Regions from separate parts of the Mus musculus genome. Here all the other regions are reported to be linked to region 3. Evidence: microRNA targets listed by miRTarBase, many of them from high-throughput screens and not tested one by one. Region 3 holds a microRNA gene; each other region holds the end of a gene's coding sequence.

What was found. The annotated mature microRNA mmu-miR-9-5p reads UCUUUGGUUAUCUAGCUGUAUGA and lies in region 3 at 4,025-4,047, shown strand. An mRNA with a match to its seed (bases 2 to 7 or 8) in the 3' UTR can be bound and repressed. Matches are read on the target gene's strand: a 7mer-m8 pairs with bases 2 to 8, a 7mer-A1 pairs with bases 2 to 7 and ends in A, and an 8mer does both.
Region 1: the mRNA of Eml5 is a reported target of mmu-miR-9-5p. Seed matches in the 3' UTR shown: 7mer-A1 at 4,857-4,863, 7mer-A1 at 2,655-2,661 and 7mer-m8 at 2,549-2,555.
Region 2: the mRNA of Vamp3 is a reported target of mmu-miR-9-5p. Seed matches in the 3' UTR shown: 7mer-m8 at 1,846-1,852.
Region 4: the mRNA of Dmtf1 is a reported target of mmu-miR-9-5p. Seed matches in the 3' UTR shown: 7mer-A1 at 5,864-5,870.

The regions. Positions count from the first base shown.
Region 1 is chr12:98,784,557-98,791,676 of GRCm38, forward strand. Eml5 (echinoderm microtubule associated protein like 5) reads right to left here. Exons shown (of 44, transcript NM_001081191.1): 42 at 6,721-6,874; 43 at 6,057-6,157; 44 at 2,048-5,830. The coding sequence ends at 5,794. It overlaps Zc3h14 (zinc finger CCCH type containing 14), which reads left to right. Exons shown (of 17, transcript NM_029334.2): 14 at 360-496; 15 at 762-850; 16 at 1,079-1,185; 17 at 2,019-3,218. The coding sequence ends at 2,025. Among named protein-coding and RNA genes, the nearest start is that of Gm35463, 14 kb to the right of the region's middle.
Region 2 is chr4:151,043,084-151,050,203 of GRCm38, reverse strand. It overlaps Vamp3 (vesicle-associated membrane protein 3), which reads left to right. Exons shown (of 5, transcript NM_009498.4): 4 at 158-209; 5 at 1,158-2,899. The coding sequence ends at 1,174. It overlaps Per3 (period circadian clock 3), which reads left to right and starts at 5,539. Exons shown (of 21, transcript NM_011067.3): 1 at 5,539-6,096; 2 at 6,500-6,645. The coding sequence starts at 5,972. Gm38529 reads right to left here and starts at 5,351. Exons shown (of 2, transcript XM_017320565.2): 1 at 5,176-5,351.
Region 3 is chr3:88,211,589-88,218,708 of GRCm38, forward strand. It overlaps Mir9-1 (microRNA 9-1), which reads left to right and starts at 4,010; the gene lies at 4,010-4,098. All of the region lies in intron 2 of Gm3764 (predicted gene 3764), which reads left to right. Mir3093 (microRNA 3093) reads left to right here and starts at 3,583; the gene lies at 3,583-3,669. It overlaps Gm25641 (predicted gene, 25641), which reads right to left and starts at 4,082; the gene lies at 4,025-4,082.
Region 4 is chr5:9,114,110-9,121,229 of GRCm38, forward strand. It overlaps Dmtf1 (cyclin D binding myb-like transcription factor 1), which reads right to left. Exons shown (of 18, transcript NM_011806.3): 16 at 6,976-7,120; 17 at 6,241-6,385; 18 at 4,759-6,029. The coding sequence ends at 5,920. It overlaps Tmem243 (transmembrane protein 243, mitochondrial), which reads left to right. Exons shown (of 5, transcript NM_001081029.1): 3 at 2,371-2,421; 4 at 3,350-3,454; 5 at 4,345-4,874. The coding sequence ends at 4,467. Among named protein-coding and RNA genes, the nearest start is that of Tmem243, 17 kb to the left of the region's middle.

The sequences.
Region 1 (7,120 bases), not on the chromosome of region 3:
AGCCAGAGCTTCATGTTTATCAGGGAAGTACTCCATGGAACAGTGTTCCTAGTCCATTATTACTGTGTATGTGAGACAGGCAGACTAGATATCACATGTGTGCAGGTGCCTCCAGGGGCCAGAAGAGGGCATTGAATCCCCTGAAGCTGGAGGTCCAGGCCTCCAGCTACCCAGTGTTGGTACTGGGACCTGAACTCAGGTCCTTTAGAAGAGCAGCAGGCGCTTGAAAAACCTGAGCTATCTTTCCAGCCGGGCATGGTGTTTGTGAAGTCCCTCTAAAAAGAACCCCCCCACCCCCCCCAAAAAACCCTAAGTCATTGAGATGTTAAATATAAATAATAATTGTTTTTGTTTTATAGAGCCTTTCCCAACTGTAAATTTGCTGAGAAATGTTTGTTTGTGCATCCAAATTGTAAATATGACACAAAGTGTACTAAAGCAGATTGTCCCTTCACTCACATGAGTAGAAGAGCCTCGATACTGACTCCAAAACCAGGTTAGTAACTTTGTGCAGTTATAGTCAGGTCAAAAAGAAGAAAACGACATTTTCTGGCTCTAAGTGATAGGAAACAACAAAAGAATAGTTTTAGAAATGATTTTAGTATTTAAAGAACAAATCTGCCTTTCTTACAGAACTCTGCTATATTTTATCTTGACTGATAAAACTTGTTCTAAATTAAATGATACTAACCTTACCAGTAACTGCATTAAAAGATGTTGTTGCCAAAATAGATTTGAGCATTGTTCACTCTGATTGTCAGTGTCGTCACCAGCACCGTCTTCTAATGGCCAGCTCTGCCGTTACTTCCCTGCTTGTAAGAAAATGGAATGTCCCTTCTACCACCCAAAAGTAAGAAGTTTTATTTTCTAAAAAATGGTTTTAGTGGTAATCTCTCATTCTGAAGTTTGGGTTTCATTTTTGTGTACGTTTTATTTTAAATTCCGTGTATGTCTGGTTTTGTGTGTATTTTCTAAGGCTTTCAGTGGTGTTACTGTGGAGTGTTAGCGTTAGAGTGAGGTGCGCAGTTCCTGTATTAGCTTGAAGATTTTAAGGTTTGCTCCTCTCGTTTCTGTTCAGCACTGTAGGTTTAACACTCAGTGTACGAGACCTGACTGCACATTTTATCACCCCACCATTACTGTGCCACCAAGACACGCCTTGAAATGGATTCGACCTCAGAGCAGGTGAGGGTTTAAGTTCGTTCTTTAAACGCTGACGCCATTTAGAATTACATCTTACTGTCTGTGTTCTTCAGTTGTATAGGCACACAAACTGAGGGACAATGAGTTTTATTTCTTCCCCTGTTCCTTTAAAATTAATTTTAAAAGAATTCCTTAGCAAAAATGATTTACTACATGAACCAAATTTATCCAGTGATGACTTTTTTTTTAGTCTACATCATCTCCAGATGGGTTCTTTTTTTTTTTTTTTTTTTGTGGCGCTAATTATTGAATCCAGAGCCTAATGCATAATAGGTACCCAGTGAGCTCCACCCTTCAGCCTTTCTAAAACTTGTGAGCATACACAGTAAAGATGCAACACCAAGGCCAGCAGACTGGTCTGTGTGGATGTATTATACACACTGATCAGCAGTCTCAAAGCAGGGATGGGGGGGAGACTGCTTGGTCTCTAAAGTGCTTATTACCTCACAAGCTTGACAATCTGAAATTTGATTCCCAGAATCCATGTAAAAATGTGGGACATCTTAGTATGTAGAGCTGGGAAGGCAGTCCAGCCTACTTGATGGGTTCCAGGCCATTGAGAGTCCCTGAATTTGAAAGGGTGTAGGTAGTGTGACATTTGAGGTTGACCTCTGGGTGCCACATGTGTGCTCACACATACATAAAAAAACAAAAGGAATTCCACATCAGTTTCCTTAGACTGAAGTTTCACAATATTTTACTGTGGCCTAGAAGTTAAACTGCATAATTGAATTATTTAAAGACAAAACTTTTTAGCTAATGTATATGGTATTTATATGCAAAGCAGTTAACGTAAAAATTTTGGTTTTATCCAGTGAGTGATGCCCTAGTCCTACCTGGCAGAAGATCATGCAGTTTGAAAGCTTCCATCTTCTGATGAGAGATGTTCTACAGAACTTGTCACGTCTTTGAAATTTAGAATATATTGCTTTCATAATACGAATTTTACTGCCCCACTGAAGTGTCTAATTTTTCAAGTTTGTAAGTTTATTAAGTGGTTTCAACATTTTTTGTTTGTTCGTTTTGACTATGAAAAAGACAGTTTAAAGAAAAGCCAAATTCTATTAAAACATTTGCGGCATGTTTGTACATTGCTGTTTAATATCATTTTTGGTAATGGTACTTGCAGCTTAGGGCTGTAGTGCTGTGGGAAGGCCAGTGTCCTCAGAGCTGAAGCACTTTTCAGCTTTTCCCAAAGGTAATGCAGTGTCTGTAACCCAGCGTGGTAACAGTGGCCAGGCTTTGAAACTGAGGCAGCTTTGGAACAACTAGTTTAAATTTCTTTTTTTAGTGTCTAAATGAATTTGCTCTGAGAAGCATAATGCAGACTTTATTTTGAGTGCTACTTTGGTAGAGTGGACCGAGGTCCTGTGCCTTTCTGAAAGTGAGCAGAGACATGGTCATAAAGGGTAAGCATAGTTGGAATGACGATGTAAAAATATATGGACAGTTCTTTGGAATGCTCCCATTTACTATTAGCTTATCATTTTATAAGTAATTTTGGAGGGACTACATTATCACAAAAGTATACAAAAATTTTTACAGGCATATGTACAGAAAGTATCAGAAAACAGACTTTGAACTCACAAGAATATAAATATACGTATATATTCCCATATTCTGAAAAATATCATCAGAAATAACCCCACAGAAAATATACTTATGTTATTACTAAAGATCATTCTTGAAATGTAGAAGTTGAGATTTAAGTGGTATATTTTAAATGACAGAACTATATTGCAGAGATAGGAAGGTAAACTTGACAATAGGATGAAACTTGGCCTACTGTACTATGGAGTTTTATGTGTGGTTTTTGAAACTGTTAAGGCAAGATGTGTCATGTTTTAGAACTAAATAACAGACAACTGATTTCAAAAACGTGTTGTTTTAAAAATTAAAGTGTAAACGGTGGTTAGCAAAGGGGATAATAAAAGCTCAAACATTTTGAGGACCAAATTTAACTGTTAAGATACAATAAAGTCACATCTATAAAAGTCTGTGTTTAATAATGTGAAGCCAGCCTTCTACTGTGGTCATTGCCTTTCCATTGAAAGATAACAGAATTAGCTAGTTATTCAGCCATTTGATAAATTGGCCTTGACCATGCTAACCCCAGAGGGTAAAGATCAGAAACAGCAAGAGAACAAAGGAGACCAGGGCCTAACGCTGTCTGCTGCACAGGTTCAGGTGAAATGGCAATTCTTCATACAGTGAGGACACTGAATTTAAGGGTTCAGCTTTGGAACTAGGCCATTACCACTTTGTAAAAAAATACGTGTAGATGTCTGTCTTCTCATAATTGTCTAGTAAAGGACCAGAAACCGGGAACAAGGGCTTAGATGGTTTAGCTTTTTATAAGGAAATGACATGTGACAATCTAATTGTTTTCTGTTACTGAACGGTGACTAGAAACACATTTTAAAACGTTTGGGTTTTTTTTTTTTTTCATGTACTGCAGGCTGGCCTCAAATTCACTATGTAGCTAAGAATGATTTTGGATTTCTGATTCTGTGCTTGCACTTGGGATTGTAGGCATGCCTCATTTCTATGTAGTGCTAGAGGTTAAATCCAGGGCTTTACAAATGCAAGATAAGCACTGAGCTGTATGTGTGTGTCCTAGCCCTACATTTAAATGGTTTATTGTTTAATTCTACAAGTTATAGACAAGCTTACTCTAAACCTAAAGCAATTACTGACTACTTGTTTTAAATGAAACACCCTAAGGAGTCACCCAGAGAAGAAGTAGGCATGATGGCTGGTAATGGAGAGCACTGGAGTGGACTGTGTGCTTTGGCATGCATTTACGTAGGAAACAAGTGGGACCACAGTAGCTGGTGGCAGTCTTGGGCTATTAATTCATATACTGCAGGCACACACTGTAGTTTTCTGGGTTTAAAAACTAAAGGGCAGGTTCTCTGATTCATTACCTTTTTCACAGTTGGTGGCCATATGATGACTACTCAAGAGTTAGCCTGATCCCTGGTCTTTAGTCACAGAACTGACCAGTGCAGTGACAAAGACTTGACTTACCAGGCTGGCCACTCTGAAGGACAAAAATAGTAGAAGCAGTTTTTACTTTATGGTTTACTTGCTTAACATTACAGAATTTACAGAATTAAAAATATTCTGTAACTAAAAGCCAGCAAATTGTCCAGAGGGGAAAACCTTAGAACTATATATATCATGCTTAAATTTGAAGTATTTTCCTTTTTATAGGAATTCTTTAATATATTGACTACCATTTTATGTAATACCAGTTTAGATGGACCATTCAGTATGAGCATTAGAAACGTTATCTTAAGCTTTAAGTTTCTTGCAATCTCCTCATCAGCTTTAAAACTGACCATGCTCCAAGCACTGCTTAGACAAAACTTCCTTGATGCGATGTGTTCATTTCTGGTTTTAATAGTCACAATATTTTTAGCCATAGAAAACATATCAAACCAAACAGGGTTCCAGAAGCCTGAGGGGTTGGAGTCTACTGCTACAACAATAACTCACACAGTGAAATAAAAGTGGAAACAACCAGTAGAGCATCCTCAGTGTCTTCACACGTAGAAAAATAAATTTTTATGCAGCAGTCTACTGGACTTTTCATCTTGAGGAAACTTTAGTGAGGCTAAAACAGCAAAGTCTTAGACAGGAAGTCCCAGTCTTTGGCAGCATTGAGTGGAAGGACTCTGAGCTCTTCAGATGAACCTGGAGTCAGTCATTTTGGAAAATAGCCTTATAGGGTGGCATACATCTAATTAATTAAATTATTTTTCTCAATACAAAACTATAAAACTTTATGCCCAGGTTTATTAGTATATGAATTTAATGCTTGTGTTTACACAATAAACAAATGTTTATTAGTTAGATCATACCTTTAAATATGCAGTATTATCTTTCAGTTAAGTGCTCTGGCTATCACAGAACCTTAAGAAAACTTGGAAATGAAGTTCACTGTATTATTTTCCTATTAATGAGGCCATAATTGTGATTCATAATTTTATAGAGATGGCTTCTAAACACAGCTCAAAATGAAAATATAGTAGCCATGTACTGCTGACTCTGGATCTATCCTTAGTTCAGGCTGTAACATGGCCTTTGCAGAGGGTACTTTATTAATGTAAGTTCCCTTACGAAAAATCTTTGCATTTTTGAAAACAGATTCGGGTGATGGTTGGCCATTCCTTTCCTTGTATAAGGGTGAAATATTTCATCGAACAAACCTTAAGGAGAAACGTTAGAAATGAGATGAAGTTGGTTTGTTTTGTTTTTCAGACTGCTATACCCTAAAAATCTCCTGGGCAAGTCTGCCAAAATTCCACACTCCTCAATAAGAGGAGGAGGTTGGCTTTTACCCAATACTCAGTCATTTCTTGCAATGTAATTATCTGGCAGTGTGTGGACGATAGGTCGGTACATACAGCAGGCATTTTAAACCGTCTGTCTGTCTGTGTGCTGCAGTGTGGATGATTCTGCACATCCCTCCCCGTCACAGTCCTCAGTTAGCACCACTTGACCATGCAGTTTGGTTTTGGTTTTTCCAACGTGGAACTGGTCTCTTGAGGTGAGATTTGTTTAGTCTTCTCAGCATCATACCTTTCAGTGAGGCATGTGTACACATTTCCAGACAAACAAACTGCAATCAGAAAAAAGTGACAAGGAGCTTTATCACATTCTAGATTTTCAGAAGAGTTTGCCAGCTACAATAACTCGTTTTGGTGTGTTTTTATGAGGTTAATGGCTTTGAAGTTACTAGTTATCTTCTGATAAATTCTGGCTGTGTTCATTGCCACATCTATCTAGTTACCAAGTCTTCCTAGTGAAAGGTAATCATGCTCTTCCTGGGCCGACCAAGCACTGACCTGCAGTCATCGCCTCCAGCACTGACAACATGCCGATCACCACTGGTAAATCGAATATTTGTCACATGAGGGGAATGACCCAAGAACCTCTTGTGCTTTGCCTGAAATGGAAACAAAGCCCCCTCAGCAGTGATCTACACAAAGGTTCCAGTAACAAAGCACAATTCATCATTAGAGCAGGGATTCTTGTAAAAGTTTACAGGTCTGCGTACAACAAACTAGGTCATTTAGGCAGTCATATTTTTTTCTCTGAAGAACGGGGAGGGGCTGGAATCTGCTATTAATCATTGTAGATTTGATTCATAAAAGCTCATCAGAACTTTCCTACGAGTTTCCAAAGACTATGGGGATGGTTTGGGTTTTTTTGAGACAAAACATAGGCTATCCTTGAATTTAGAAATCTATCTGCCTGCCTCTGCCCCTCTGCCTCACATCTGCTGTGCTGGAATCAAAGGTGGACACCACCGCACCTAGCATGAAAGGTCTGTTTCTAGGAAATGTTACTTTGGCTATTGAAAGTTTGAGGAAACTCTTAGAAATAAAAATTCCAGGATTTTCATGTTAGAACTGCAACGTTCTAAAATATGTGGGAGGGGGGGGGCGGGGGGGAGGGTGACTCATCTAAGATTCAACTAAAGTAATACAAAATGCTACACAGACTTACAAATTTTTCTGGGCATGGAAAGTCATATAATTTAACCATGCCAAAGTCATCTCCTGTCACAAGGCTGATTCCTGAGTGAGACACACAGGCACAGGTGACATCCGCCTTCTCAGCATGTCTGGACCAGATTCCCATAACTTCATCTCCTAGAATACTAGATAGAGGGAAAGCAAATGTACCACAGATAGTTCTGTTTAATGATTAAGATGGCTGTGCTGTATCTATCGCCTCTGCCTCCCAAGTGCTGGGTTAAAGATGTGCATTGCCGTTGACAGTTTAGGAAAGTGCCTGAAATCTTCAAGGTCATTATACAAGTTCTTCTCAAGAACTTGTTGAGCCATGGAAACTGATAAAGTGTAGGACAGTGTTGAATCAAAAAGGGTCCCAGAATCAGCATGCC
Region 2 (7,120 bases), not on the chromosome of region 3:
GATTGGAATCTACTTCTGAAAGCCCATAACTAAATTTCAGGACTTAACTGAAAATATAAAATTTAGGCTTTAGAAATTATATAAATTATTTCACACTGTAGCGGTTGCGGCGAGCACTGTCTGTTTTGCAATGTTAAATGGATCTGTCTTGTTGCAGATGTGGGCGATAGGGATCAGTGTCCTGGTGATCATTGTCATCATCATCATCGGTGAGTTACCCATGGTCATAGACGTTCGTCTGTGCAGCAGCAAAGAGTGGATTCAGTCCAAGGTTTAAATATCGTTCTTTATCAAGTATTTTAAATACTTGAGGGTGTTTTGAGATGATGGTATTGCGGGAAGTTTGAGGCAGGGTCTCGAGGCAGGGTCTCGATGTTCAACCCAGGCTGGCCTTGAACTTGTGATCTTTCCGCCTTAACATTTCAAGCGCTAGGATTATAGGCCTGTGCCACCAAAATGATCCTAAATATTTGAGTTTTTGTAATTAAAGTCTGGTGTTTTGTTAGATGGATGATGGATAGATGGGTGCACTTATCCTTTAAGAATAGCAAATCTCACTCCTAATGTCTGGTCAATTTTTCTCTCCTGTGCAGTTTTAGTCTGTGTCCTTTTGTGGAATGTAGTGATTAGCTGAGTTGATCCATCCCAGCTATGCCACCTGTAGTAAGGCTCTGTGACTTTGGGCAAGCAGTTGGGTCTGTCTGGACCTCAAGTGTCCTCATGAATAAAATGAAGATGGTAATGGTGTCCACCTTGTGTTGTTAGGACAAACCTGGTTATTACATAAGAAAGTACCTGGCATAGGAGAACAGAAATAGTAATTATGTAAATAATGTATATAGCTAGCACATAGCTACTCCCACCACTCTTGTGACTGCATATTAGAAGAACTCACTTTATTTTCATTCCAGTCTATGCGAACATCCTAGCAAAGCATGCCTTCCTTTGCTAGTTCTTGTTAGTATTTCCTTTTCCACTTTTGAGTTTAGTCTTCCCCAGAGCCCTGTAGCATGTAAAGAAGCTGCCAGTGGAAAACTGGCCAAGTCAGTTTCTCTCTGTCCCTCTTTAGACAGTAGAAGTCCATCCCTACTGAGTATTTGCACACACAAAGACTAACATGCCCTTTTCATTGTTTCTAAATCTTCCCTGCCTCTTAGTGTGGTGTGTCTCTTAATGAAGAACCGATGAAACTGAAGCCCGATATTCAGGATCTTCTTCAAGACTTTCTACTTAGAACCTGCCGTGTTATCGAGCTTACCTATTGTTTTTTTTCCAAATGATTATTTTTGTTAGTTTACATACAGTTTAGTGCCTAGAAAATGTGCCTTTGTTTTTCATATACACTCCAAACTGGAGGTGTGACCTACCCTCCCCACATTTTGCACAGTGCCTTTACAGATTTCTGGACTGGGAAAGAGGACTTGTGTAGTTCTGAGTGCTGAATGGAGGTGGATGTTGTCACTCAAGATGACTTGTTGTGGATTCCAGGAAGGGGGTTTTGTTCAAGGCAGCTGTCCCCACATCTGACATCATCTTCAAAACCACATTTTAAACTTTTGGGTAATTAGATTCCTAACTTGGACCTTCCAAGAAGAACACTACTGCCTAACAGCAATGGGTGACAATAGCAGGGTGTGCCTTATTTTGATAGCTAGGAAACTGTTCTTTAAGATTATTCTCCGTTTGTAAGCACTACTGACTCCCGCTGTATTTAAGATGCTGGTGAAGAGCTCATGCTCTTATGTTAGATATGACTATGTTTACTTTCTTGTTCTTGTTGTATATCACTCCTAAAATAGTATTTTAACCAGAAATAACCCTTTAAGAAGTTTTTATAGAACTATGACCAAAGTTTCTATTTTGCCAAAAGTTAAGTACAAATAAATTGCCCCAATAGATACATTCAAATAAGTGCCAAATGTAACTCAAGGTGTCCTTTAAGAAAAATGTTAATACTGTGAGAGCGAGCCTTCAACATGTCGGCAGTCCATCCTGTGAAATGCTATAGAGAAGGCTAGTCATTCTGATTTGGTTTCTTCTTTAGAGCTATGGAGGTGGGCTCAGATCACACCTGTAGACAAGATACTTAGCCAGCAGTTTGTAGACTGAGCTAGGCTGTGGTCTCTAGTGCGATGTGAGCAGTAGCCGTGCAGCCTCACCAAGGCATCAGTCTGCACAGAGTTCCAGAAGACTGTGTACTGCTTGTACTCATCTCTGTCTTATGCTTGAGGTAAGCCACCGGTCACTCGTAGAGGATAGCTAACCAGAGATGCCTGGTGCTCTTAGAATGTAGCCATTGCTGTCTGGGACAGTTTCATTGTTTATATGAGACTTTCATCAAGGCTTGGTTCAAAGACAGGAGTTCAGGCATGGGTGGAATTGAGGAAGTGGTGAAGGGAAAGCTGCTTGCCTATGGCAGTGCCACTAGAATGTCCTGAAATCTGTGTTTGTGTGTAAAGCAGCATTACTCAAGATGTCATAGAATCTGGTTCTAGTTTTTTGTTTTTGTTTTGTTTTTTGAGACAGGGTTTCTCTGTATAGCCCTTGCTGTCCTGGAACTCACTTTGTAGACCAGGCTGGCTCGAACTCAAAAATCCGCCTGCCTCTGCCTCCCAAGTGCAGGGATTAAAGGCGTGTGCCACCAACGCCCAACTGGTTCTAGTTTTTTATCTGTTCCCCTAACATTACTGAAACAATACAGATGTTGAAGATATGCCTTGCCGCATCAGCCTAGGGCTTCTGTCCTGGTCTGACCTCACAACTTTGGTGCTGTCTCCTCATATTCTGTCCCATGTAACTCAGTGGCTCCTGTATTAACACAGTGATACCTCGCTTCTCTGTGCATTTAGCTGGGAATGTTCCCGGTATGGTGACCAGAATAAAGTTGTTTATTAACATGATCCTGTGTCGTGTTTCTTGGAGTGGAGTTGGGAATACACCTGATGCATGTCCTAAACTTCTGACCCTTGATGCTCCCCCTCCCTCCCTGACAAACTATGTTTTTTTCTTATTCATTATCCTAGGAGCACATATTCCTGTGAGAAGATGTAGATCTCACCCTGTGTTAGGGGACTCTAGAGCAACAGAACTAATAAGGTGAACATATATTTTTAAAAGATTTTTATTATGTGGTATGGTCTACCTCACACTGAAGATGCTGAGAACCTGATAGCTGCTTAGTCCATGAGGCTGAGTTCCTCAGAAGTTTCCATCTGGTACTGTGGGCCTGGAGGACTCCTGGAAAATCTCTGGTGTTAAGCCCATGTGGAAGCCCATGTGGAAGCCCATGAAAACATACTGAGTTCTGATAACATCAGAGTGCAGCAACAGCAGGGTAGATTAACTCGCCTGTGAGTGAAGGCTTGCAGGCAAAGAGCAGAGCTTCCTTCTCCTATCTTCCCCACTTTACATACTCCGAGCAGGGAAACCCATCAGGAATACCTGGCAGGCTGCCTTTTAGTTGATTCCACATACAATGGAGTCGACAACTGGAATTAACCATCATATACCTTAATGAAAAGTGCTTTTCAGAGCAGAGATGAGTCCATAGCTGGTTTGCAGTTACCAGACCAGTAAGGATTTGGCTATTGGGTTTCTTAAATAGTGTCTTCTGGAAGTGATTTGTAGAGTTGACCCTGGTACACCACACAGCTACCAACCACACAGGTAAACTTAGGGGAGGCATGTCCCAAATGTGTGGCTTTTTTTTTTTTTTAATCTGCCTTCCTTTGAATATATTTCCCCTCATTCCCCCACTCTTGCAAACAATGTAATATAGACCGGGTAGGATTTTGTCTATGTTTACAACATAAAAGTCTAAATACTTTTCCTTAAGCACAAACCCCATCACAATCTGGCCCTTCCTTTCTCCCATTGCTTCAGGTTCTTTTTTTTTTTTTAGATTTATTTATTATTATTATATCTAAGTAACTGTAGCTGTCTTCAGACACACCAGAAGAGCATCAGATCTCATTATTGATTGTTGTGAGCCACCATGTGATTGCTGGGATTTGAACTTGGGACCTTCAGAAGAGCAGTCAGTGCTCTTAAGCACTGAGCCGTCTTTCTAGCCCTCGCTTCAGGTTCTTAATGACTAACCTGTACTTCACAAGGATGGCCTGAAAGGGACAGTGCTTTTCAGTTCTGTTAGCCCACCCATTTCCCCCACCCCAAAGGATCACTCAGATTCAGTTCCCCTTCTCAGCGGCCCTCCCTTACCCTCCAGCCTGTTCCCTGGGGCTCTTGCCTCCTTCCTCTGTCCTTCCCATTCCTACCAGTTTATGTCCTACCAGCATCTTAGGCTTTCTTGACTTTGAGGCATCATCCATGTGTTGTATGTTGAGTATGAGAGAATTTGGTTCTGTCCTCAGTACAATAATCCCTGCCCACATGTGCACCCAATGGTCGTACAATGAATGTTTCTTGAAGAACTCAGGAGTAGAGTAATCCAGTGTGGAGAAAGACTTTTTTTAAAAATCGGTCATTTGCCCAATATGAAATGTGGATACTTGCTCTCTGGCATTTTCCCCTTCTCCTTTGGCCTGAACACTTTCATTCATCCAACAAATACTTAGTGTATTTTTTTAAAGATCTTATTATTTATGTGGTGTATGTCTGGATAGCGTATGCTCACTGTGCAGGTGTCTTGATGGATGAGGGCATTGGATCTCCTATAACTGGAATTACAGGCACTTTGTGAGACACTGATAGAAGATGCCTGGGAACCATCCAAAGGAAGAGCAGTAGGTGCTTAACTCTCAAGTGCTGTGCCATCTCTCCACCCACTACCGAGTGTGTTCTTGATGTACCCAGGCAGCAGAAGGCTGGAGCTCTGCCCTGTACCTTTCGTTTCTGAAGGGTAGAGACAGTTATGTAAAAGGAGCATCCTGGCTGTTTCCTCGAAAACAGAGCGTCGCTTACAATACTATCTAACTCCTGTTGCCAAATGAACCTGTAACTCGAGGGCAGCCAAGGACCTTACCTTGTACCATTAAACTTGTATTTCTGAAAATACGGTTGGATTCTACCTGGGTTCACTCACCTATATTGGCGGGTGGGAGAAAGCAGCAAGTTTTGGAAAGATGAAAACAATGGGAACCCCAAAGCACTGCATTCCTGGGATACCGGGGAGCCCCAGAGGCCTGCGGACTCACAAGCGCCACCGGGTCCACTTACCTGTTGGCTGCGCGGACCCCGCCCTCCCGTGACTGACAGCCCCAAGGCCACGCCTCCGGGAAGCCCGGCAGTAGACTTGCGCGGCCCGGCCCTGTTGTCTTCCAGGCCACTCCACTTGGCCAGGATTGGCCGAGAGCCGCCCTCGCCCGACCCGCGCGTTATGTAAGGTACTCGGGGGCCTTTGCACCCGCCCACCCGCCCGCGGTTATGTAACCCCCGCCGTGCACGACCTGCACCCCGCCCTCTGACCAATGGGAGCTCGTGTTGCCGGTAACAGCGACCAATCGCGCGGCGAAGGGGCGGGACCGGATCCCTGGCGCGCAGGGGGCGGGGCCGGCGGCCACTGGGCACGCGGACGGCCTCGAGACTGGACTGCCCGCGGGTGGGCGAGGCTCTGCGGGGCGGCGGCGAGTTGCTCGGCTGGCGGGACGCCTGCGAGCCCGCACGGCCGGGCGCTGCTGCCCCTGCCTTCTGCCCGGTCACGCCGGACGTTGCTCTCTGAGGTGTTTCTCGATGCTCGCCGGCTTCCCAGCAAGGACGGTGGAAAAGTTGTTGCAGGCTGACCGCGCTCCCTGAGAGCCCCGCTGGTGGTCCGTCCAGCCAGCTTCCGCCATCGAGCTGTCGCTGTAGCTCGTCACCCCAGCAGAGTCTGTGGAAATGCTGAGGAGAAAAGTGCCCCTCAGATGAGCGTGGTCGGCGACCAGTCTTTCCCGAAGGCGATGGCAGGGACCAAAACAAGCCGGGTTTGGTTGCTAGCTGCAAACTGAGAGAAGCAGGCTGAGGGCTGCCAGGCGGGATGGATCCCTGTGGAGACCCGGCAGTACCTGGTGGCGACTGTCCCCAGACTAGGGGACCGGGGCTCCAGGGGGCGTCTGGCCAGGAGGGTCCTCTGCAGGGCACTTGCGTGGACAGCAGCCACAGGTGACGCTAGGAAGTCTCCCCACCACCCTCTGTGTTTATTGTCCTTCCCTGGAGCAGGGAAAGCAGGATTTACAACTTTTTATTGTATTTTTGATCCCGGGGACGCGGTAGGGGGGGGAGGCGACCTGAAAGGGAACTTCCAAATAGTTCGGTGAGGATTGATGGGAGGGGGAATGTTACTAAACTAAATTACCAGAGTACGGAAAGAAAGAGGAAAGTGGTTAAAGAATTTGACGGAGTTGGGACTGAAGGGAGAATGAAAGTGTAGAATGTCCCCTACCTGGAAGAGAAAGGGCATTAAACCTGTGACCTGGGCTAGTTGAGGTGGCCAGACATCCCTAAAAATCAGATATTCCTTGAGTGTCCACCATTACGGTTTCTTGTTTGTTTTTTTCCTATTCAGTGAACACGAAGACCGAAACAGAATGTCTGAAGAGCTTATAATGGTTGTCCAAGAAATGAAAAAGTATTTCCCAGCCGAGAGGCACACTAAGCCCAGTACCCTAGATGCTCTTAACTATGCCCTGCGCTGTGTACACAGTGTGCAAGGTAAATGCATTGCAGCGAATAGGGTGGCGCTGGGCTCAGTCCTCATGTGCAGTGGAACTCCAGCCTCCAGAGGCTTGGGCTTTATTTGTAGCCAAGACAAGCAAGTCTAAAGCTGATGTAAGTGGTGCTTTAGGCTTTCCAAGTTTGAAAAGCCAGCAGAACGTTATTTGTCTGACAGTTTAGTAACTGTGCAATATTGTGCCTATCTGTTGCAAGAGTAAAGAGTTGAGCAGTTTAAGTAAAACTCAGAGGACTTTTTCAAGGAGCATTGCCTTCCATGGAGATTACACGAGCAAATACATGTCTGGGTTGTTTTTTTCTGTCATGCACACACTTTGGAAATGCAGTTGTAGTATATACAAAATAGACTAAATCAAAGAACAAATGTTTTTCCTTCCCCCAGCAGAAACCGCTTTGCTCAGTCTGTGATCAATAGTTTGTGAATTCTAGTGTTTCCTCCATTAAAAAAATATAT
Region 3 (7,120 bases):
TTTTGTGGGTTATCTTCTTGATTTGGATGCTGTTAAACTGAACTGCCCCTAAAAAGCTCAAATTCAATATAAAAGGTGGCAGGACTTTATTCTGTATCTGCTGTGTGGGGAACAATTTTTTAGCACCCAGCAAAGTGTGTTCATTTCTTCCTTAAGGTTAATTTTTGAGAAAGTCCAGTTGAGCCTGAATTTGGCCATTAGGAATATGGGGTGGGAGTGTACATCGGACAAGGAAATCTTTGTGTATTCTCTCCTTCCCAACAAAAATACAGCAGTGCCTGAGAGGAAAAGTTTGACTGGCTCAGCTGCCTCCTACCTCAAGGCTTGCAGGACTCCAGGGCAGGGGGTTCCTGTAGAGGGCTGGGAATGGTAAAACTTGGTGAGACGGAAGGGAAACATCTTACTAGCAGCTAGGGCTCTCTTTTCCAAGGCTGGCTCTGACCTCCAAACTTTTTGGTGTTGGGAAGGGAGGAGAGGACAAAGGTACTTCAGGGGTTTGAAAGCAGTTTTGTGGGAAGAGCAAACCAATGCTCTTAGGAAGCTAGGTCAGCATGTGGGGAGGAGTTTAGTGTGCATGTCACATGTATGTCAGGCATCCTTGAAAGGGCACAAGGTGGCATGAAGGGCATGAGGGAGCATGCAGAGAACGGGTCACAGGCTTGTAGGCATGGTGGAGAAATGTAGTCAAGGGCTTTACCAGGGTTGATCTAGGAATTGTATTTAGCACCATGCCCAGAGGGAAAGTTGCCTAGAGAACATTTGGGGGGAAGAAACCCCTTTTTCTGCAGGTGTACTGGAGCTCCAGGAGCTCCCAAGCCCTCTGGGCACACCATTCTGAGCTGTAGGGGAGTGAAGGAGACAGTTTAGGGTGTGCCCTTTTCTCTGCCCCACCATTGGACATGGCTTAGTTCTGGCAAATCATCCAAGCTGCCAAAGCTTCTAGAACACCTCTCCCCCAGCTGGTTTTGGTGGTGCATACAGGCTTGTAATCTCAGCACTTGGGAGGCTGGAGGCAAGAAGATCAAAATTTCAAAGCTGGTCTGTGCTAAAATAAGTTCAAGGCTAGCCTGAGCAGCTTAGCGAGACTGTCACAGAATAAAAAGTGAAAGAGGTAGGGCTTAGGGGCAGTAAAAGAGGTCTGGGGTAGTGGGGCTTGCCTGGCCTATAAGAGGCCCTGGGCTTAACCCTCAGTACTTAAATTAATTAACAAGCCTCTCTCAGAAAAGAGCATTAAAACAACATAGAGAGAAAAAAACAACATAGAGGTTTGAAAAGAAAATAAAAGAAAGAAAAGAAAAAAAGAAAAGAGAGGGAGATTCAAAATAAATAAATAAATAGACAGATAAATAAATAAATAAGTAAATAAATAAATAAATTCTGGCTAAACCTGGTCCTGAGAATGCCCCAAGACATGGAGAGATAAGGCTATTTGCTTGCTATCATCCTTCTGGTAGGGAAACATCTTGTGGGTTTTATCTCATCTCAAGCTGGCCCCACCCACAGCCATGCAGCCAGCATTAATAGCAATGAACATTCAGACATACTCCGTTTTGGGTGAGAAGCACTAAGTTAAACCTATTAGCCACCACCTTCCATCTAAGCAAGATAAGCAGTCCACAGGTCTGGCTTTGTTTTGGGCTATTCATGGGACTAGCAGATAGACAGACCCAATGGTTAAAGTGATAGTCCCCTAAATGGACTGCTGGTGACTCCGTGTTTAGGGGTCCCTGGTTACAGGAACTGGCTGGTTTAATCTGACCAGCAGGATTTAGGCATCTCAGCCAGTTTTATAGAAGGGACCCAGCAGAGGATAAGTAGGAGGATGAAGGGACCGCTCACTGGCACACAGAGCAGCTCCTGGGGCCCATGGTTGCTCTGAGAATTTCGATGTACCTAGAACCCAGATGTTGCCCAACAGCAACTGGCTACTCCCCGGTGCTTTTCTGCTTCTGCTTCTTTGGTGGAGAAAAGGACCTTTCTGGCTGGACTGGATTGAGAGCCAGGTGGAGGAAGTTGAGGACGGGGACAGAGCTTTGCCTGAAAGGCATCTTCCTTGGGGAACCGAACCCAGAGCTGGCACTGCATGCCTGGGAGCCTGGAGGAACATGGGTAGAGGGAAAGACCTATTAAAGGTCTCCAGGACTTGGCCAAATTCTGAGTCTCAAAAGCAGCTAGGATTCTGTGGTTATCTGCAGATAGGGTCAAGGAACATTCCCCTGAAATGCAGAAAAGAGGGCCCCCTTTGCTCGCCCATTGTCTCATAGCAGGAGACTCAAACTGCACAGTCTTCCCTTCAGTGAGGGTTTGAGTTGAAAACCTTGAACAAAAGAGACCCTTGCCTCTCCTAAATATTAGGATCACAGTTTGGGAGGAATTAGAACTCAAAAAGACTCTAACGGTGGGGTGAGGTGGGAGGGGGTCAGAGATAGAGTCTCCAGTCCGCATCCCTGCCTCAACCTCCTGGTGCTGAGATTACAGATCTCTTCTCTTTGAGGGAATTTTGCCCTATTTATTTTCTATTTTTGCGTGCTGGTCTTGGTGCAATGTACCGTAGAGCCCAAAAGGAAAATGTAAGATCGACAAGAAGAGCGAAGGTGGCCATCAGAACCGCAATTGGCAATGGATTATAGACGTGGCAGGCGGGTTGTAGATGAGGCAGCAAAAGACTAAGGATTGGCATAAAGACATTGGATCCCATTCTCTGGGGGAGGGGCACCCCAATTGCACGTCTTGGACTGGCCTGGGGAGGGAGGGGGTCGGGCATGGAAAGGCTGGGGGGGAGGGGGGGAAGAAACGAGACAGTGACGTCAGACCAGGTATAGCCAATCAGGGGCTGACCTGAGGAAGGAGTGTGAAGGGATGAATGAAAAGTCCGGAGCCTGAGAGCGCCCCCGCCAGAGCAGCGGCCAAGGCTGAGGAGAGAGCTGGGACTCGAGACCCTGCTCCACCCTGCTGGCTCTCGCTCGGCCCCATTACCTGGCAAGCCCCGGCATCCTTGACCCACGTCCGTGGCGCTGCCTGGGTAGGAACGCGCCTGAAGACCGCGCAGGACACTACCACTGGGCATCCTGGGTTTGATGTAAGTGGCCTGACCCGCGTGGGGCACGAGGTGGGGAAAGCGCCTCAGAGTCCAGCGCGCGCGTCCGCCACCTGCGACCACGGAGCTCTACACCCTCTGCACGGTCCCTGGACCTCCTTCCAGTGGGTTCAGTCCAGATAGCCCCCTCCAGCCACTAAGGGCATCTCTCACTCAGACCCCCAGTGGCATATTTCACATCTCTGAATGATTTCGGCTGCGTTTTGCACAAAACCGGCTCCCGCGCGGTTCCGTAGGTCCAGGGCTCGGAGCACCTGCCTGGTCACCCTTTGCCCTAACCCGCAGCCCCACGTCCTGACTGCTCGCCCGATTCTCTCTGGGTGGGGTCTTTGCCCTTGGGAGAGTCGCTGGGGAGTCTCTAGATCACCCTCCACCCCGCCGCCAGCCACAGGCTTCCCTCTGGGCCTCGGGGTTCCCCAGTGCTGGGGTTCCCGTCCGGGGCTTCGCGGCCGCTCCCCTGCAGTCGGTAGCTCGGAGCAGCTCTGCGAGCTCGGCTCTGCCGCACCCCGCGGAGCTCACACTCGACCTTCCAGAGAAGGGTGTGGACACCGTGGGAGGTTGGGGAGGCCTCGGCCTAGGCTTCTGCGGTCTTCCCGGATGGCACGAAGGCCCTGGAGCCTTTCCACTAGCACCGGCGGAACCCTGCTTCTGCACGGAGGAGGGAGTGGGAAATGGGCGGTCAGGCTTGGGGCCGCTTGGTTTCAGCCTAGATTCCCGACCTCAGAACCGTCGGCGGTAGCATCTTTTCCTCGCCTTTCTGAGGTCTCGTCGTGATAGTGCGTGAGGTCCTGGATCCCATCTTTTCGCCTCCACACCACGCGCGTCCCCCATCCGCCGTCGAGCGACTCGAGACTACGGAGGTCCAGGCGGTGGCCGGGAGGCTGCGTGGAAGAGGAGGAGGCGGCCAGGAGGCGGGGTTGGTTGTTATCTTTGGTTATCTAGCTGTATGAGTGGTGTGGAGTCTTCATAAAGCTAGATAACCGAAAGTAAAAATAACCCCATACACTGCGCAGAGGGCCTGGAACGCTGGTAGTGGCCGAGCTGCAGGAGGGAGAGCCGTGCCAGGCGTGCCTGGAGGCTGGAGGGCTGGGGGGAGGGGGACTCGTCGCCTTCAAAGGTTGCTCAGCCCGAGCCACCTCGCGATCCCCACCCGCAACCTGCTCACCTGGGAAGAAAGCAAGAAGCCGCTCTGGGGTCGCCTCTGGAGGCCTGGTCAAAATGGAGCAGTCTGGGCCTCAGTCCGGAGAAGCCGCTCCCGGGAGAGACAGAGCCCTTGGCTGAAGGGTTGGGGGGAAAGTGCAAGCATCCCTCTCCCGGTCTCGACGCATCCCGGGAGCGGGTGGCTGGTGTGAGCAGCTTCCCTCTGGCTCTTCGAAGCGACTGGTGGAGTTCGAGGTTCGTAGGATGTCTCTAGAAAGCTGGTTTTTGCTTTGGTGGTTTCCCTGAAGCCCTTCAGCTTTACTGGGAGTCAAGATTGCCCAGGTGGGAACAGGTCTAGGAGCGGGGAAGGCTTAAAAACCAACACACACATCGAACTTATTAGGGAGAATGGCGATGCAGAAACAAAGTAACCACAAGGGCAAGGGCCAGAGTGGCCAGAGACCTTTTTACCCCACAGGAATTCTGGGACCCTGGGGCGCAGGTTCTTTGCTTTCACTTTGGCCTTCAGGACCAGAGCTAAGTCTAACTGAACTCTCTCTGGCTGCTTTGTCATTAGTGGCTAAAGGTGTAGAGTTGGGGTGGGGGGCTTTAGAGCATCCCACCTTTCGGTCCTAACCTCACTCTTGGAAATCGTGTCCCAAAGGAACAAATGGCCTCAAGGAGCTCTGTGGAGCTCAAACACAAAGGAATGTGTAGCTGTGCTGCCCAGAGAACGCAAAGAATTAGAGAGATTAATTTGGGCTCCTGTAAAAAGAATCTATTTATCTTGCCTGACCTAAATATTTTAGTGAAAGAGGGTTTCTACAGCTGAGAAGATGGTCTAACAAACATGGCCAGAGCTAGGAATCCCCTCTGCTCTCATGGCCCTCAGCCGAACTTGACCAGCTGGCACTTGGAGACCTGGGCTGTACCGACTAATAAGAGGCAGAAAACTGGGCAAAATGTCATCACCCAGACTCCGCTGGTTCTTATAAATTTAAAATTTCCTCCCGGGACCTGATTTTACAGTTAGAAGATAATGATTCAATTTTGTATTACATGGGGGGAAATATTAGAGAATCCAAATTCAAATTCTGGGACTTCAGGGAATCTATTGCCTGTGTGTGTCTTCTTTAGCAGTTAGGGGAGGGAGAGTCGAGTGGCCTCTTAAATTCCAGAAGCTTGGAATTTGTTTTGTTTTGGTAGGGGTGGTGGGGATGAAGCTTAAGTCAAGGAGAAAAGAGGCTGGGTCTAGGCTGGAACTAATGGTCTGGCCACAGCCTGTTTTCTTTTTCCGCTGCTTGAGAGATGCCATGTGATCCCATGTTACACAGGCACAAGTGAGCAGCTGACATTACTCACTGGCTTGACACTCAAAGCTCCTTCCATTTACTCTGTCTTGGAGAAAGTGACACTCCCCACCCCAAGGGAGCCAACTGGGAAAGTAGAAAGAAGGGAAGCCTCTCTGTTATTGGGAATTTGCATGGGCAGAGGAGGGGCATCAATAAAATAAGCTTCCTTATCATTACCATCTTTAATGTTTCCTGTATAGTGTCTTCACTGTAAATTCCAGGACAGCCAGGGCTACACAGCCCTCTATCATAGCACAGGCCTATAATCTGAGCAGTTGCAAAGTAGAGGACGAAGGATCAAGAATTCAAAGTCATCCTTGTCTACACAGCAAGTTCTTGGGCATCCTAGAGTCCCCCTAAACACACACACACACACACACACACACACACACACACACACACACACACACCACATATTCCCAGGAACACTTAGAGTCTCAGTTGCTAACCACAGTAGTTTTATATTATTGTTTCCCATGAGCACATTGGATCACAGGCTCTTCAAAAGAGAGTAGAAGGCTTTAGGAAAAGGAGGAATAGAGGCTAGGAGGTTAGGCTGCTAAGGGTTCATGTCTTCTTTAGATGCACACTGACTGTGTATGTGTACGGTACTCAGCAGGGCAGCAGGTGCCCTTTGTGAAGTCCATGTGCCTAAGGGTGAAGAGAGGGAGGCAGCCTGTGTGGATTGGTATAAGGATGTGTGCTGTGCTAGGAAACTCAGCTGGGACACTGGGGATGCTAGAATGTGGCCAGGCAAAACCACAGAAAAGAGCTGGGGTTTATTAAATGCAGACATCACAGTGATACCAAAGTCTCCTCCTCCTCCTCCTCCTCCTCCTCCTCCTCCTCCTCCTCCTCCTCCCCGTCCTCCTCCCCCTCCTCTCCTTTGTTTTAATTATTTATTTTGTGTCTGTGGTTATATATTTGTAAGTCAGAGGACAAATTATGAGAGAGCCTGTTCACTCCTTTAACCCTGTGGGTTCAGGAGATGGAAATCAAATGTCAGGTTTGGTGGCAAAGACCTTTATCCAGAGATATCTCCATGGATCTCTCCTTTTTTTTTTTTAGAAAGTGTTGCCCAGGCTTCCGTGGAACTGATGACAATTCTCCTGCTTCAGCCTCCCAAGTGCTGAACTTCCCCTCTTTATATCATATAGCACCCTCCCTACCCAGCTAAACTGTGTAGGAGAGCTCCTTTGGTCTGAGTTCATGTTTTGTCCACTTGAGAAGTCTCCTTTGTTTAAAAACTGCCATTTCTATTCTTCAGTCTGCTACACACACCAGACTTACTGGAAACCAATTTCACATCTGGTTTCAAAGATGTCTGTCTCTGCGGGTGTGTTTTGCCTGCATATGTCTATGCACCATATAGTAATGCCCTCCAAGGCAAGAAGAGGATGCTGGATCGCCCTAGAACTGGGGTCACGGATGTTTGTAGATGTTGAGAATTGAAAACTGGATCAGTACAGCCAGTGTTCTTAACCACTGAGCATCTTTCCAGCCCCTCAGCTGTTTCTGTGACCCACGTTTT
Region 4 (7,120 bases), not on the chromosome of region 3:
TACAGCATTAGAAGTGGGAAATTTCTAATGAACTCTGGCTCTTCTGACCTGGATTTACGGTACTCAAAAGCAGGAGACCTGAGGGCCGGGCACTGGCTGTGAGGAAGCAAACCCTGCTAAGCATTTCGGCCACATCTACCTCAGGAACGGAGAGAGCTGCTGCACTTTAGCAGAGTAGCTGTTGATTAAGGAAACTGTCGAGTGACTATCTAGAAGCCAGGCAGGAGACTATTTAGGTGTGCTTTCATTACATGATCACAACAGTTATGCTACCGTAATAGGCTAACAGGGCATGCTAATAGGCTTTGTGAGGTGCCATCTGTCAACTGACAGCAGGAGTGGCTTTGAGGATATGCTGTCTAGCAAGGAATGTGCAGCTTTTTATGGGGGGAGTAGGCCTGGCAATCTTGTTTCTTTTACTTAGACCTTAGGCACTTTGATTTTCCTGAGCCTTTTTCCATGTGCAGATCATACTGCAATTTCATCCATATGTACATACATATGTATGTCAGGGGTTGATGTTCAATCATTTTCCTTAACATTCTCCATCTATTTTTTGAGATAAGTTCTCTCATTCGGCTCCTCTGGCTGGACACTGAGCTCTACAGACCACACCTCATCTAACTCTAGGGGAGGACTCCGATGCACACTGCTATGTCTAGCTTTCACAAAACACAACACAACCGTGTGTGTATGCTGTGTATGACCAGAGGCCAGGAGAGAGTGTCAGATCCTCTGGAGCTAGAGTTACAAGTGTGAGCTGCTTGAGACCGTGCTTGGAAACCAAACCTGGGCCCAACTCTCCAGGCCTCACGTCCAGGTTTTTAAGTGAATGCTGGGGACTGGCCCAAACTCAGGTCCCCTGGCTTGTGTGGAAGGCACTTTACTAAGCAAGCCATCTCCCCACCCCCTCGTCCCTAGTTTTAGAAAGCATGTCTGGTCAGTTGCCTCTCCGTCAGTTTTGATTTTTTTTTCCCCTCTCCTCTTTACTCTTGATTTTGGTGGACAAGCTGCTGTGACATTTGGAAACTGTGATTTACCTTGTATACCTCTGTTAGTGACAGAGCTGTTAGGATACAAAGACCCATAGTAAATTTCTCCAATCTCTTGAGAGCATATATTCTCAGTTGACGGTTTCACAGACTGGTACAGGTTTTATCCTTCTGCACTCTGATAAACACATATACAGTAGGCATGTGTGGGAGGAAGTTAAGCGAGTAGTAAGTTGCTCTCAGGTCTCTTTTAACTTTTGGTGGGTTGTGTTGTTGCGACCTGTTGAGTTCTTAGTGAAGTTGGGGTATGCTCTTGCATAGATCAGGCACACCACACCCAAAGCCTACTATACACCCAGCTTTGCCTGCCACCTTGTGTTTTTCAAAAGTATAGAGAACTTGAAAGAAAAGTTTTAGTGTGTTGCTGTTTCCATACCCTCTTTCTGTAGATACTAAAACAACCTTTCAAGGGCCAAGGTGGTATGGAGTCTGCCTAGCATCACGTGCAAGGCTGTGGCTGGAAGACCAGCAGCCCCTGCTCCATAAATATGATTTCAGCTTTGGCTTCTCATAAATAAGTTATTCTTGGTGACCCTGAAGTAGTTTCCTAGTCAAGTCTTAAATCCCAACCTTGTTGTATATAATTTTTCCCCCTCTGAGGATGGGTGTGATGAGAAATCAAACCTAGGTCCTGCGCAGGCCAGGCAAGTGCTGTACTACTGAGCAACGACTCTTGCCCCTGTTCTGTAATCTTATAAATAACTTGCCAACCTTATTACTTTGTAACATTGTTAAGCTTGGTTTCAGAGTTTGTTGTAATTTTTGTAAGGTACTTTAAAACACACTGGGCCCACGTTTACCTTAACATGTAAAATTTAGGTTACCCCTACTTTAGGTATGTTTAAAGAATTGGCTGGATTAGGGATGAAAATCCTAAGAAAACTCTTCAGTCAAATAATTCTTTGTTTATATTACTAAAGTTTTACTAAGTTGGAGAAGAAAACCACTGGACTACACTACACACTGGACTACATGCCTTCGTCTCCCTCCAGCATGGCACTCTGGTCCTTTCTAACAGCACCAAGTATTTTTAGGTAGACAGGGCCACTTCCTGTGTCGCTTCCATCCATTCCTATTTCTCGGTCTGAGCATCAACCCCACTACTCCCCATGTTAGGACTAGCAATCCCCAATAGCACACGCGCTCCTCAGTTGCCCTCTCTTTCCAGAGCCATTCCCACATTCCTAGCACCACAGCTTTTTTATTTGGAAGACGTCAAGGGCCAACTCTTGGTCTCTTCATTCTGTAAGATTCCATCTTCCATTCTGGCAGCAGCCCAGTCCAAGACATCTGGCTTACAAACTGTTGTCTCTTTCAGGACCGAATCATCAATTTAGTTGTTGGCAGCTTAACCACCTTGTTGATTCTAGTAAGTACCTTTGTTTGTTTTGCCACATTTGCTCTGTTGGCCAGTTTTGAGAACTTTTAGTGTCAATTCTCCCCAAGACTTTAAAAGAGGGTACAAACATGTGTAGACTATTACAGTCATGGCAGAGTGAATCAGTCAACCGCACTTGCCATTGTTGCCTGCACAGTAGTACACCTGTACAAGTGATACCGTGATAACCAAGTCCTCTACCAGTGGTCACCACCGCTCCCATTTCTCTTAATGCCTTAAACTTGCTTTTAATGCCTAAACAAGTTTTAAAAGACTTATAGGATATTTTAAAATTCTGTATAGCACATTAGATACACATTCTATATAGGTCTATCAGACTAAAAAGCTAGTTTCTAAAGTCTGATAAATACGGATTAAGTTTGTCAAGAGAACAAATCTTAGTTTGTCCTTTGTTTAGTTTATTTTTTGTCTTTAGAAACAAAATGGGATTCAGAAACCCATGTTCCATAAAACTAAGCCAAGCCGGCTTTGCACATACTCAGTTACTGTTTTCCTTCTAATTTTGCCCTTTTAATTTCCATAGCATCTTGGCAATGCTGAAAACAAATAGCTGCCGTAGCATGTTGGGCTAGTTTTGATAAAGTGGAATGCTTCGTGAGTTCGCATGTCCTCCTTGGGCTGGGCCATCCTAAGTCTTCATTGCCCCAGTCTCAGTGCATGTTCTGCTGAAGAGAACACTGGTTACCTGGTAGGAATATTTAGAATACTGAGATAAGCACAGCAACTCACTGCTAATGTTGGTTGCTTGTCTGGCCTTCTTTCACACTTGCTGGACTAGTCAGAAGTGCTAACTGACTTGAAGGTGACGTTGTGATGTAAGAAGTACTACCTTGCCTTGCCCCTGTCTAGCCACACCTTGGAATCCCACTCAAGGCCTTACATGTTTCTCTCCACACAGGTCACACTGATCAGTGCTTTTGTGTTCCCTCAACTACCTCCCAAACCACTGAATATATTTTTTGCTGTCTGCATCTCTTTGAGTAGTATTACTGCCTGCATACTTGTGAGTACTATTTAGAATTAAAATGTTTGTAAGCGCTTACATGGTAGTGCTTAGACAGATTGCTAGCCCCTGGGTCTATAGAATAGGGTATCTCTCCTTTAATCTAACCCCCCCCCAATTTACTTCTAATAATTACACATGGGTCCACTTTGATTTGTGATCTTCCCAGAATATCGACAATTAACATCACATTTGTCAGGAAACAAAGAGACCCCTTTGTGTACCAAAACCAGCCCCCACCCCAGAGGATGGTGATTGGTTCTCTGTTTTTTAGGCTAACTGCTGGGTCTGCTTTCACCTTAGGAAACAGTCAAACCTTGGTGTGGCACTGTGGTTCAGTGGGAGAGGTGATCTAATATGCTCGGGCCATAGGTTTGACCTCTAATACCTACCATTTTTTAAAAAGCAAGTTTTTTTTTTCTTTAAAAAAAATTCCTAAATTGTTGCAATCCTACATAGGTTTTAAGCATAACATTTGAGCAGAACTAGTCCTAGGTTGAATCTTTGAAGTTTTCTCATCTCGTGTGTTCTACAGCCCTGAGTGACCAAGGTTGAGATAGTTAAACTATGTATTTACTTACGTAAGCCCTCTTAACAGACCTAATCTGAGTGCCTTCCCTTCTAGTAACTCAAATATACTAAAAATGTATCCAGATATATATTCTCATCTAACTTGATTAGTATACTACTTTGACATTAGAACCCAGTAAATAACAAAACCAGGAGTACATAGGGAAACGCTTATTAGCGCTACTTGAATCATAGGGGATTAAACTGAAGACTATCTCAGGACAGTAATCTCTAATGCTATCCATATGAAAGAAGCATTAGTTGTATTTTACACTGTAACAGCTGGTCATACTTAAATTTGTATTTGATTCTTCTTTTAGATCTACTGGTATCGACAAGGAGACTTAGAACCGAAATTTAGAAATCTAATTTACTATATCTTATTTTCTATCATCATGTTATGTATATGTGCAAACTTGTACTTCCATGATGTGGGAAGGTGAGGCTGCAGAGACGAAATACTTACCAGGACTCTTGGAAATCTATGTGAATTTAACTGCTGCAAAAAAGTATGCTGAAGACTCATCGACAGACGTGTGGTACATGATGTTTCCATGTTAACTGTAAATCTCAATCCCCCCTGCGAGGGGGCTGCAGCATAGATCTCTGCTCTCCTTTAAAACGCCCACACATTCCAGCCCTCAAATAGCAAGGAATTCTCACTTTTGAAAGAATTTTTTTTTTTTGTTTTTGTTTTTTTTTTTTTTAACAATTTAATTGCATGGCTCAAAATCTTGCATTTTAAGACAAATACTCTTTTATTTCTGTTAAACTGAATATACAATTATTGTTCCCCTAGGCAACCAACTTTTGCTTATTACTACAGTTTTACATTAATAAACAGATGGTGAAAAGACAGCTTTGATTGTGAAGATCTAATTACAATAATAAATAAAATAATTTATACAAGTTTCCTTTTTTTTTCCTCCTTTTTTTGGACTTTTCTATAAGGATCATATCATTAAAGCCCTACAGGCTAGTTTTGGCTTTACCTTAGGAATGACTCTTGATTTGTTTTCTTTTGATACAGAAGCAAATTTTGTTTTTTAAAAGTGCCTGAGGGAGAAGCTATAGTGTACCCCCAGCAGGTAATGCACGAAGTGAACAGCATACTCTAATTAATACCCCTCACTATCTTCTGGGCAATTTATATGTAAAACATGTCATAAAAAAAGTCATGGTTATCAGACACAGGCAATATGACCTCTCCCCTCATTTAATTTCACTTCAAAGTGCTAGCTGTAAACTAATGACTGGTTTCTGATGAGAGTTGATAACTGTTTTGTTACCACTTTAACCACGTTCCCTTTAAAAGTTAAAAATCAAAGACCTGTAGTGAATTTTCTTAACTCTGTAATGCTTTGCTTCTTTACCCTGCCTCAGTCAGCTCCCACTGCCAGCAATGGGTTAACCAGCACAACCACCCCCCATAATGTGGTATCTGGATGCTGGTCATGGTCATGTCATCAACTCCTAAGTTAATCTTTCTGAAAGTCACTGCTAACATAAGCTGAATTACAACCAGCCCAGCTTGAGTCTGGACAGAGCTGTGTCTAACTGCAGAGATGAGTATTACTACTTATATTTAAACCAGAGTAGTTAAGCTCTGGTGATATAAGTAGCTGCAGTGACTGCAACTCCCTCTTGACATAAAACCTAACAAGTCTGGGCAATTCACACTTCCTATCCTCCATCATAACAACTGTTATAAAATTGGACCTCAGATGATCTACTGAGAAGGAGGTAAAAGTAACAGCAGCAACAATGTGCATGGCTTAAGCATGGCAGCTAAGTACAAGCCAGAGGAATGGCAAACCACAACTCCTGGGATGGCTCCTTTCTTTGGAGACAATGTAGTCACAATGTGGCTTCTTGAAGTACCTGTTTCTAATAATCTAGTGACAGTTTACTAAGTCCTCAACATCCTTTGAGTCTTCAGAAACAGGACTGCCCAAAGATGATCCAATTATATTTGATGCTTCCTGATGATGCTGGAATATTGGATCTGTAATGAGTCAAGTTTAAATAAAGTTAGTATTAAATGTGTGTTTCTGATTCTCCATTCAGTCCAATAGTTTACCAAAGTGTAGGATTTACCCAATAAAAGAACACTGATAGATCAAGAGAAAAGTTAGCATGGATGCATAAAACAACAGCCCGATTCCCCCCATCCCCTTACTATGTATCAGGCTCATGATTAAGTCTCAGTAGAGTACCTGTTAGTGTTGTCAAAGGCAAGACAGATTCAGTATCTATAACATCAGATGCCTGGATAAAGCCATGAGGTGAAGGAACGATAAGTATTGTTTCATCATCAATTGTCTGATGAACTTGGTGCACTATGGTGGGAGACTCTAAATCCTACATGATATTTTAAAAAAAAAAGGAGAAACTGATTTACATCCCAAGTGTCCATGTTTGTTAGTACTTAGCTCTCAAATATATTCCATCTGAAAATTAGAACATAAAGGTTTAGACCTTAGAGAAAAGAATTATGTTGCACTGTGGGATATATGTAATTTCTAAAATCTACTATTACCCATACCACCCAAAGGTGATCCAGGAGTTGATGGCAACAATTTGTTGCCTGTGAAAAGGGGACACTTCAGCAAGGAACTATGCCCAGGTGTCTCTGCCTGCTCATTTCTGTCAGCAACAAGAACACATTAATTTATAATTTTTGAATTGAAACTCTGTGAGTAAAAAGAAAAGAAGAAGGTACTAGAGCAACTGTTCTTCAACCCCTTTGGGGTTGCATATCAGATATTTATATTCCAATTCCTAACAGTAGCAAACGTATAGTTTTATGGCTGGTCATCACCATAAGCTGAGAAATGCATTAAAGGGTTTTGGTGTTGGGAAGGTTGAGAACCACTGTCCTACAGCATCTCTCCTTTAAAGCCCTCCTGAAGCCCACGGCAACACCAGCTGCAGTCTTCCTCAGAGCTTACCTCAGTAACATAAGCACTGGCTAAGTCAGACGGCGGTTCTTCCTGCTTAAGGTCAGTGTCGGCAATTTCTTCCTCTGTTCTGACCATGACACTGTTCATCAGTTCTGTGCTATTTTGGTCGCTGAATTTAGATACATGAGCATTA